Linked DNA regions of Neodiprion lecontei. The protein of the gene in region 1 purifies or fractionates together with the protein of each later gene. This does not show direct contact. Links are inferred from orthologs where the notes say so. Each region holds a gene or a part of one and is shown on either strand. Other genes may lie near its edges. The genes, in order: cytoplasmic FMR1-interacting protein and probable protein BRICK1-B.

Region 1 (5,012 bases):
TAGTAGTTTTCTAATATTTATGTTTACCTGAATCCTCCGGCCCATGGTCATCTCAAGGTAGAATTCACGGTACCAGAGTTGTGATAGATCACAGCAGTTCTGCAATGACTCTGGAATAAGAGTTATTAATTGACAGTAAAAAGGTAAAATGATAACAATATACGTTTTGTAGTTCAAAATATGAAATGATACAGCGTGTACATACAGTTGTACATACGAGTGACTTACCGCTAAAACTAAGCAAGTAATTCCAGTAAAAACTTGTTTTATGAAATTGATCGATCTGCACGAGATATTGCCCATCTATATCCTTTCTCAGCGTTCTCTTACCTCCGCTCTTATCTGCAATTAGTGACTCCAACATCGTACGTACCATGTACAATTGAGTCGATGATGGACCTTCAAACAATTCGGAATAAATCTCATTATGTGTACAATGGCCACGAATCAATATCTTAGTAATATTTATAATTGCAAAAAAATGTGTGAACCAAACTTACCAACATTTCTTCTTGGAACTTTAATGACAAAACCATTGTCTGGATCTTTTTTGCCCTTTAAAGCTGGGTCCGCTACAGGTTCAACGCCTTTTTGCCAATCTGCACAAGTCTCTCGGACCGATACAATTATACTTCGAATCAAATCTTTTTTATTCTTGGTAGCCTTTCTGAGTGGTTCTCTTAAAATCAATTGTACAAAGTCCTGTAGTTCAGCGTAAATGTTTCTGCGTATAGCATCGATAAAGACAGTTTCCATGCGAGCCATCAGAACTTGCAGGCCCTTGATCATAGCTATAACTTCAATCAGAGCAAACTTTTCTTCATCTGTGTAATTGTATCGGGTTGCCTACAGAAATTGAACTTGTTATTCATTGACCTTGCTTGGATTGCAGGTAGTCGATTAATTATTAATACGACGGTTGGCTAAGAATGTGAAACATATTATCAATTTAATTTTAGAACTTTACCAACCCGTTCATACTCTTCAGCTTCTTGCGGACATTCTTTATTCATGTGATGGTCCGTAGGATGAAGTAATTTCCAGCTATACAGTTCTGTAACAACGCTGGTCCACTGCGATAACAGTTGTAATCCTCGCAATGCCAATTCAGCTGTTTCTCTATTTTCCCCATCACTTCCACACTCCTTATACGTTGTTGTTACTTCATTACTGTACCTGAACAGAAAGTTAAATGGATTATTATAAATACAAACGTAAGTATGAAGACTTTCCAAAATTGAATAATCGTGTACGTTCAGTGTTGATATTATGAGTAATACCTCGCCAATTCGCTGATGTATTTGACGTGATCTTCTCTGATTTGAGGAAGGTGTACCATAAGATCTGCTTGTGGACTCATACTGTTAGAAGAAGATGAAAGTGGCCACTTTGAAGAGTCGAAGTGCTTCGACCGTTTGATGTAATTGAAGGGAGCAATTTGCATATCTCCAAACAGTGGTACGACCTCCAAGTTTTTAAATATTCTATCAATCCTGTCTAGTTTCAACTTCTTTTTTTGATCCAACTTATTAATGTTACACAAGTCACTGTCCATCAGAAATAACCCAAAGCCCATGACCTTAACAAGCATGTGCTTTTCATTTGGTGTTAAATACATCTTCGTTTCGAACATGTGTACACAAATATTAACTACATCTGCTAGAAGCTCTTCATACCCAGCAATTTTCTCTAGATTTTCTTTTACGGTGTCACGAATTTTATTTTGCGTTGCCAGAAACAATGACAAATTCTGAGACTCTTGAAGAGTTTGCGAATCAGTCATTACTTTCAAAAACTGAGCAGCTCTGAAATAAAATAATGTAGTTGGTGATACAAATAAATTGTTAATATTGATTAGAGATTGTTCTCAACTTTTAACTGTTTACTTTTGCTTAAAGTATATATACCCATACCTTCTGTACGTTGAATAATCATTCTTAACACTCGATTTCATATTTTTTAATTCATCGAGAACAGCAAACATATTAATGAATTTTCCAAGAGTTAGTAGGTATGCTTCAGAGACAAAATCCTTTCGCTTCTCATGGTGACACAAGCGCTTAACTTCAGCAGAAAACCTTTCAATAGCTTTTCTCTGATTTAACAAAGAGAAATATGATTATAACTATTTTCCATTTTCATTTATGATGTATATTAAATTTGTAGCTTCTGTATTTTAGTTAGGATAAAAAATCACCCACTTGAAAATACATAAAGTTCAGCAACTTGTTCACTTCAGGTGCTAAGACCTCAACTGTTTTCTCATATATTTCAACACGATTTGGCTGCTCATTGGATTTTGGTTGAGGAATTGCTCGAGAACAACATCTCCAGGTATATAACATTACCGCATGCTCTAGACCTTCTTCGAGTAGTTCGTTCTGTAGGTAAAAAATAAAGAAAATAACAGTAATTATCCAACTATTATAGGGTTGATCATAATGTGAACTGAATAAATTTACCAAACTAGCGTGTACAGTTGCCTCTTCAATGTACTTGGCAATACCAGTGACAAACCCATTTCTATCTTCAAAATTTGTATCAAAATTAGCTTGATAAACAACGGAGCACGGTTGGGCTTCAATGCAAGGCTGCTCATCAGGCAGGGTAAATTCGTCGAGTACATCGACATTTGATAAAGCATCAGCCAATGTTACCTTATCGGTAGCCATTGCTGTGTTTTGCTATAGTCTAAAATTGAATTATAAAATAGGTGTAAAGCGTCAAATCGAAGGATTTAATATGTGTAAAGATTGCAGCTAAAGATTGCGCACATACAATTTCGGAAAAGTAGACTACATAAAATTTAGGTAGAACGTAGAGATTATTGTATTTTTTAATAGCAAGTTTGAAATACACTCGAATTATTTAACAGACGAGCTCTGTTTACTCTTGGGAAGATCAGTAAATGTCCTCTTTGTTGTCGAGGTTATATTTATAAGATGAGTAATCAAACAAGGAAATGAAAGTGGGAAATAATCATTTGGTTAACGTGATTAAAGACAAGCCAGTGTCAGGTATGTGAAATTTTTTATTTAATATTTCACGAATTTTATTCATAAGACATACCTTCACAATAATTTGTCACAGTTGAAAAAATTGACAACAAACGTCACCCGACAACTCCACCCCAAGGTAAAGAGTACTCAAGAGACTTCTGGGAAAAGTCATTGTTCCATGGGAATTTATCATTCCTACCAAACCCTGAGAAAAAAAGGCCCACGCGTAGCTGCATGGTGAAATGTAATTTAAACAGAGCAGCAGGAAGCAGTTCTACACGGACCGTTGGTGAGTATTGAAATACAGCTAATGATAAATATGGCACGGGAAGGAGGAAATTGATAAACCAGAACCTAGAGTTGGGTAAATTTTAAAATTTATTCGAAAGTCTTTTAGACGGATAATTAGATCTATATGTATAATAATAAACCTCTATTCTATATTACAAATAATTTACAATATGGATGACAATATAATTTTACAATTTTCAAAAAATTGCACATATTTTTTCATTTTTTTTTTTACCTGGCTCGGTTTCGATAGAGAATTCTATTGACTATTCATTCATTCTCGCACCAACAAATTAAATAGCAATAACAATTACGTTGAAATAATAATATAAAAGAAAAGTTGAAATTAATAGAATCTACAATGTTCAGGGATATCTCCAAATTTGTTATCTACAACTCGCTATATAAATATATATGTGTACTGCAGTTATCAAATTAATATGAAATTGTGTGCGCATATTAAATGATGAGGTAAATTAAAAAGTGAGAATATTTTCCAATAGCGTGAAAATTAAAAGAATCAAAAGTAATAAATTAGGAGTAGAGAAAATTAGAAATAAACGTATATTCAAATCAATAATAAATGAATTCAGTAATTAATTACTATTAAAATGTGCAACCTTAATAATATCACATTGAGAAACGTTACATGTGTGTAATTATAATAATAAAATGCGAGAGATAAAAGCGTTCCAAAAATATGGCTTTGATATCATCAAAGTAAATTTAAAACTAAGACCATGTTTTTCAAATTTCACACACCACAGGTCATGATGCTCATAGACTCATGAATTGCCCAATCAATATCGTAGACATATGCCCTACAATTTTCATGTATCTAAAAAAAGCATTGAATCTCTTTTAATTGTAATGTTCAAACTCAACGACTAAGTCTCATTTTTAGGATCTATTAGATTATCTTGGCCACGTGTGTTTATTCTTGCTTTACTAAATATAACTTTCTTGTTTGGTTTTCAACTACTCAATGAACATTGCTACGCAATCACCAACTGGTACACAGATAGAATCAAAATTTCACCAATGTACCTTGTTTAGCTCTACTGCTGGTATCTCAGAATTGATACCCACACGATAAACTGTTTTTTTTTTTTTTATAAAACTACTATGATCAGTAGTTCAAAATATGAGACATACAGACACGTGTTCATGTTTCAAACTTTCGTAATTAATTACATTCGTGATGGTTGTCATATAGTTCGATCCGTTGCACTTCTGGATATTTTTTCTATATACTGTCTAGTGTTAATAGCGGTTTATAATGCGTACCATCGGCCTCTATTCACACATCACACAATTAATGGCTAAAAAACTATTATTATCAACTATAGACAAAACCTAGTACACTCTGCAAACTATAAGTACAAATATTTGAATAACAACAAACAGTGTTGGAACAATATATCTCACACCCCTTGCACGTGCGTGGAAACAAAATAAACGAAATCAAACGAACCAGCAGCATGCTTTCAAAGTTGTACGTACACATTATCTTCTATAAGTGTATGTAGACGGATAATTGTTAATTAGGTTCTGAATGATTTTCGTTGCAATGCACAACAAAAAATTTTCCTGAAAATTTATTCCGAATAAAATCAACAAAAACTGTTCTATATTTGCGTTACATTCCCCAGATATGGTCGAAAAATATCGCGATAAATGGCAAGAATCGTTAATAGGTACATCAAAGTAGATTTTTTAGTA
Region 2 (3,749 bases), on another chromosome or scaffold:
AATCTCACTGTATTATAAAGCTTCCTTGACCAATTATTATAAAATCACATTACATGTCTTTCGTCATAAAATAGAAAATTTTATAAAATTGCACTTTTCTTACATCCCATGCAACTCATCTATCCTATGTCAAAGGTATGGCAGCCGGAAGTCTCTTGGGTTACATGTTTAAGGCTCCTATCTTTATATGGCCCCTTGCTGTAATGACCGGGGCATTTTGTTGCGTTAGAAAAGATGGATTCACTAAAGGATACGTTATGGGTGATCTTAATAACGTACAGCGAATTTACGGAAATCACAGAAGTCCTCATCATGACTCCAGTTTGTTTCCTGTTGGAGAGAAAGGTTGGACGACTGGGGCTTGATTAAAAAATCAAGCACATTTTCCAAAAATAGTGTTACCTTAATATGGTTGTACGTCATCATGCATTTGCTATTGTCGCATGAGAGGATGTATATAAAAAAACGTATAAATACAGTTATTCGGTTCAAATAGTTTACATTATTTATTGTACATACATATTAAAGAGGTGAAAGTTTCTATGCGTAAATTATTATTATTATTATTATTATTGATATTTAATTTAAATTATACGTTTATATACATATATGTCATGTTATGTCAAGGTTTCTCCTTTAGTTACCTGAAAAGGCAAAAAACGACTGTTAGATTGTAGTCTGATAATTTTCTGAAAAGTGTGTAGGTAGTAACTCATTTTCGAATTTAGTACATCATTCAGAATACTCATTGGAATTTTCAGCACACTTACAATGCCGTAACAAGTCTAATGAGTCATTCGTATTTGATTAACATACGAAAAAACAGTCGATAGTTCAATTCTGACATTAAAAAAATTATCATTCTAAGCTGTTCTTAAAGCTTATCCTGAGATATTTTCACTAGATGGTTTTATCTGAGGTAAAATTTTAATGTAATTTTCAATGGCATTTATAACACTGAGCTGATTTTGAGCTAGCATCTATAAATTGTAACTTACACATGCTTCAAGGTATTCTATGCGACGTTCTAATGTTGTTAGTTTTTCATTTAAAACAGCCAGTCGTGACCTGCATGACATATCTGTAAACAATGAAGATATTGAATAAAGCAGCTTCCGGATTGTAAATATCCTCACTCTCTACATTCGGTAACTTCAGAAATGATTTCTATCATGAGTTGGACAATGATTGATCCTTCGTGAGAAAAAGATACAACTCCGAAGGAGCAAAAATGTTTATAATTAGATATTGAAGTGTGACTGAAAATCATAATACTTAATCTAGGCTTGGATAATTGACACACGAGTGTTTAGTTTTTATTAACTGTAATAAACACTGAGCAGCGGAATGAAGTGAACATAACCTAAGGATAAAGTGAAAAGTTAATTCATACCGAATGAATTAAGGAAGTCGGTGATTTTTTTAATACTTCCAGTTATAACTTCGATGTATTCGCGATTTGCCCAATCCTGTTGGATTTGCTTCTGTATTGCCTCTCGGTGAATTGCAGCCATTATTTAGGGCTTTACACAAACCTCAGTTTCGCGTCTTACTCACTGTTGCTGTCAGGACCTAATCTGACCATCCCTTGAGCGATCGTAGGTTCGTAAAACCGGCGCAAGACTAAAGTGCGCATGAATTTCTGCTGATAATTTCACGTACGTCACAAGTGTCACAAGTGACACTTGAAACATGAATGAGGAAAAACTGCATGATTTCGGATATTAGCGAATGAAAATACCGGCTTCAATTATTTTATACAGTACCGTGATTTGTATAAAACATATACGCTCATGTGACAAATAGTATTTTCACAAGTATTTTTATTTTTCCCTGAGAGCGTATTTCTAGGTTAGGTTAAACTTCCCAACGCTGTTGCTGGATTGCAGTAAATGTGGAATTTTCATTTCCGTCAATAGCGTGATATATTGTGTGTCTACTGATTAAGAGCGTCGATGGTGAATCGTGTGCACAATTTGTAAACGATATCTATAAAATTTTTTAATAACGCACGACGTCTGATACACAGTTGATAAAATGTCATCTAAAGACAGCTGTCCGGATTCAAAATTGAAACAACAGACGTCGGCTGAAAAGAAAGGTAAGTTTTTCGACTCATAATATATACTTGTACACTGGTTGATCAATGAAAATTAATCCTTTCTTATAAAATAGCATAGATGTAATTAACGATGATTTATATTACAGGTATAAAAGAATTGGACATATCAGAAGCTGGATTATACGCATATGGAGCTATATGTGCGCTAACTTTGGCGGAGTTGTTCTCAGATCCCAGCGATCATGCCTACAATAATTTATGCATGAAAATGATCTGTCAGCATTTGAAAATGAATGAAAAAAACGAACCTGTAATGATGTATCTTAGCGAGGGAAAAAGCGAGCAGTCCCAGGAGCCTTATATTGCTTTGCTTATGGAAGAACCCAATTTAAAAGGCAAAACAATTTTAGTTGTACAGGATTTGGTATTACTGGCTGTGCGTAATGGTGAATAAATTTTTACTTTTCAATGCAATATTCATACATCAGCCATTACGTATTCAGTTACCCATTTATAAAAGATTGAAAAGTAATATACCACAAACTAAAATCTTTCATCCATACATTTAGTAAATGGAACAATTAACAGCAGAGTAATCAATTGTACACAAGTTCCTAACAATATTCTTACCAGGAGAAAAATTGGCAGGGGTTTTGGGTACAGACGAGATGAATTTTGAATCTGTGTTTCACATGCATAGAGTTGCTCAATCATATCTTGCGAGAAGGCAAAATAAAAACCGATTCACACAGATATTGTAAAATTGTAGGTATCATTTACACTCATTATGTTCACTTTCATCATAAATTTTAACATTTTTACAATATGATAAAATTTTTTCTACCATTCTGATGCGACCAGTTTATGAAAACCGATATTTCATATCACTTTTTTGTATTCTTACATTTTCTTCAGGGATTGTGTCAGGTAATAATCTTAAAAATATTACAAGCACTGATATACATATATATATTTATATGTGTGTAGTTAGTAGTAGATGATTTCACAAAATACAATATCAATGGATTCATTTGATGTACTTTTTCAATCCAGGTGAATATGATTCTAGACAAAGAGTACTTATCAGACGAGTATCCGAACTATTAAATGTCCCATTTGAATTAATTGAATTCTATGAGCATTCCCTGGTCAGATTGTTGAATGAGAGTCAAAGCGAACAAACAGAGTATGTACATAATATTTTGAATCATTGCTTAATGTACTTTTTGTTTTCTTTTACACACTTTTTGCCTCTGCGATAGTAATCCTTGTCATATAAAATTGGGTCTCATAATTATTTTTGATATTCAATACAGGGCAGAGCAACATGAGACTGAACGACGTGATAAAATACGTAGAATCAAGAGATACGCAGCGATTGGCTTAGCCACAATAGGAGGTGGAACATTGTTAGGTTTAACCGGAGGTTTAGCCGCACCATTTATCGGTGTTGGAGTAGGCACAATACTTGGAAGTGCGAGTGCAGCTGCACTGGGCAGTACGGCTGGTATTGCGATTATAGGTTCCTTGTTTGGAGTGGCTGGAGCTGGACTGACAGGTTTGACACTGAACTGTTTTTAATGATTGTTTGTAGAGGTTGTCAATGTTTCAATGATTTGATTATCACACAGGATATAAAATGAAGAAACGAGTTGGGGAAATTGAGGAGTTTGAATTCGAGCCCCTA

What was found.
Region 2: the proteins of cytoplasmic FMR1-interacting protein (region 1) and probable protein BRICK1-B purify together in Drosophila melanogaster (affinity purification with western blotting; 4 studies listed by BioGRID). This does not show direct contact. The link is inferred for Neodiprion lecontei from reciprocal best matches to the Drosophila melanogaster genes Cyfip and HSPC300.

What each region holds. Positions count from the first base shown.
Region 1 is NC_060265.1:7,521,639-7,526,650, forward strand, and holds the start of cytoplasmic FMR1-interacting protein, read right to left. Parts: upstream 3,164-5,012; 5' UTR 3,070-3,163; intron 2,692-3,069; 5' UTR 2,673-2,691; coding exon 2,463-2,672; intron 2,382-2,462; coding exon 2,202-2,381; intron 2,096-2,201; coding exon 1,914-2,095; intron 1,806-1,913; coding exon 1,281-1,805; intron 1,177-1,280; coding exon 972-1,176; intron 847-971; coding exon 501-846; intron 400-500; coding exon 229-399; intron 111-228; coding exon 28-110; intron 1-27. UniProt on the Drosophila melanogaster protein: Plays a role in guidance and morphology of central and peripheral axons and in synaptic morphology. Also required for formation of cell membrane protrusions and for bristle development.
Region 2 is NC_060264.1:4,294,029-4,297,777, reverse strand, and holds probable protein BRICK1-B, read right to left. Parts: upstream 1,652-3,749; 5' UTR 1,515-1,651; coding exon 1,394-1,514; intron 1,082-1,393; coding exon 999-1,081; intron 645-998; coding exon 618-644; 3' UTR 548-617; downstream 1-547. Other genes in the region: uncharacterized protein LOC107227299, read left to right, coding at 136-365; transmembrane and coiled-coil domain-containing protein 4, read left to right, coding at 2,038-2,101, 2,209-2,508, 2,978-2,989, 3,116-3,248, 3,379-3,620, 3,694-3,749.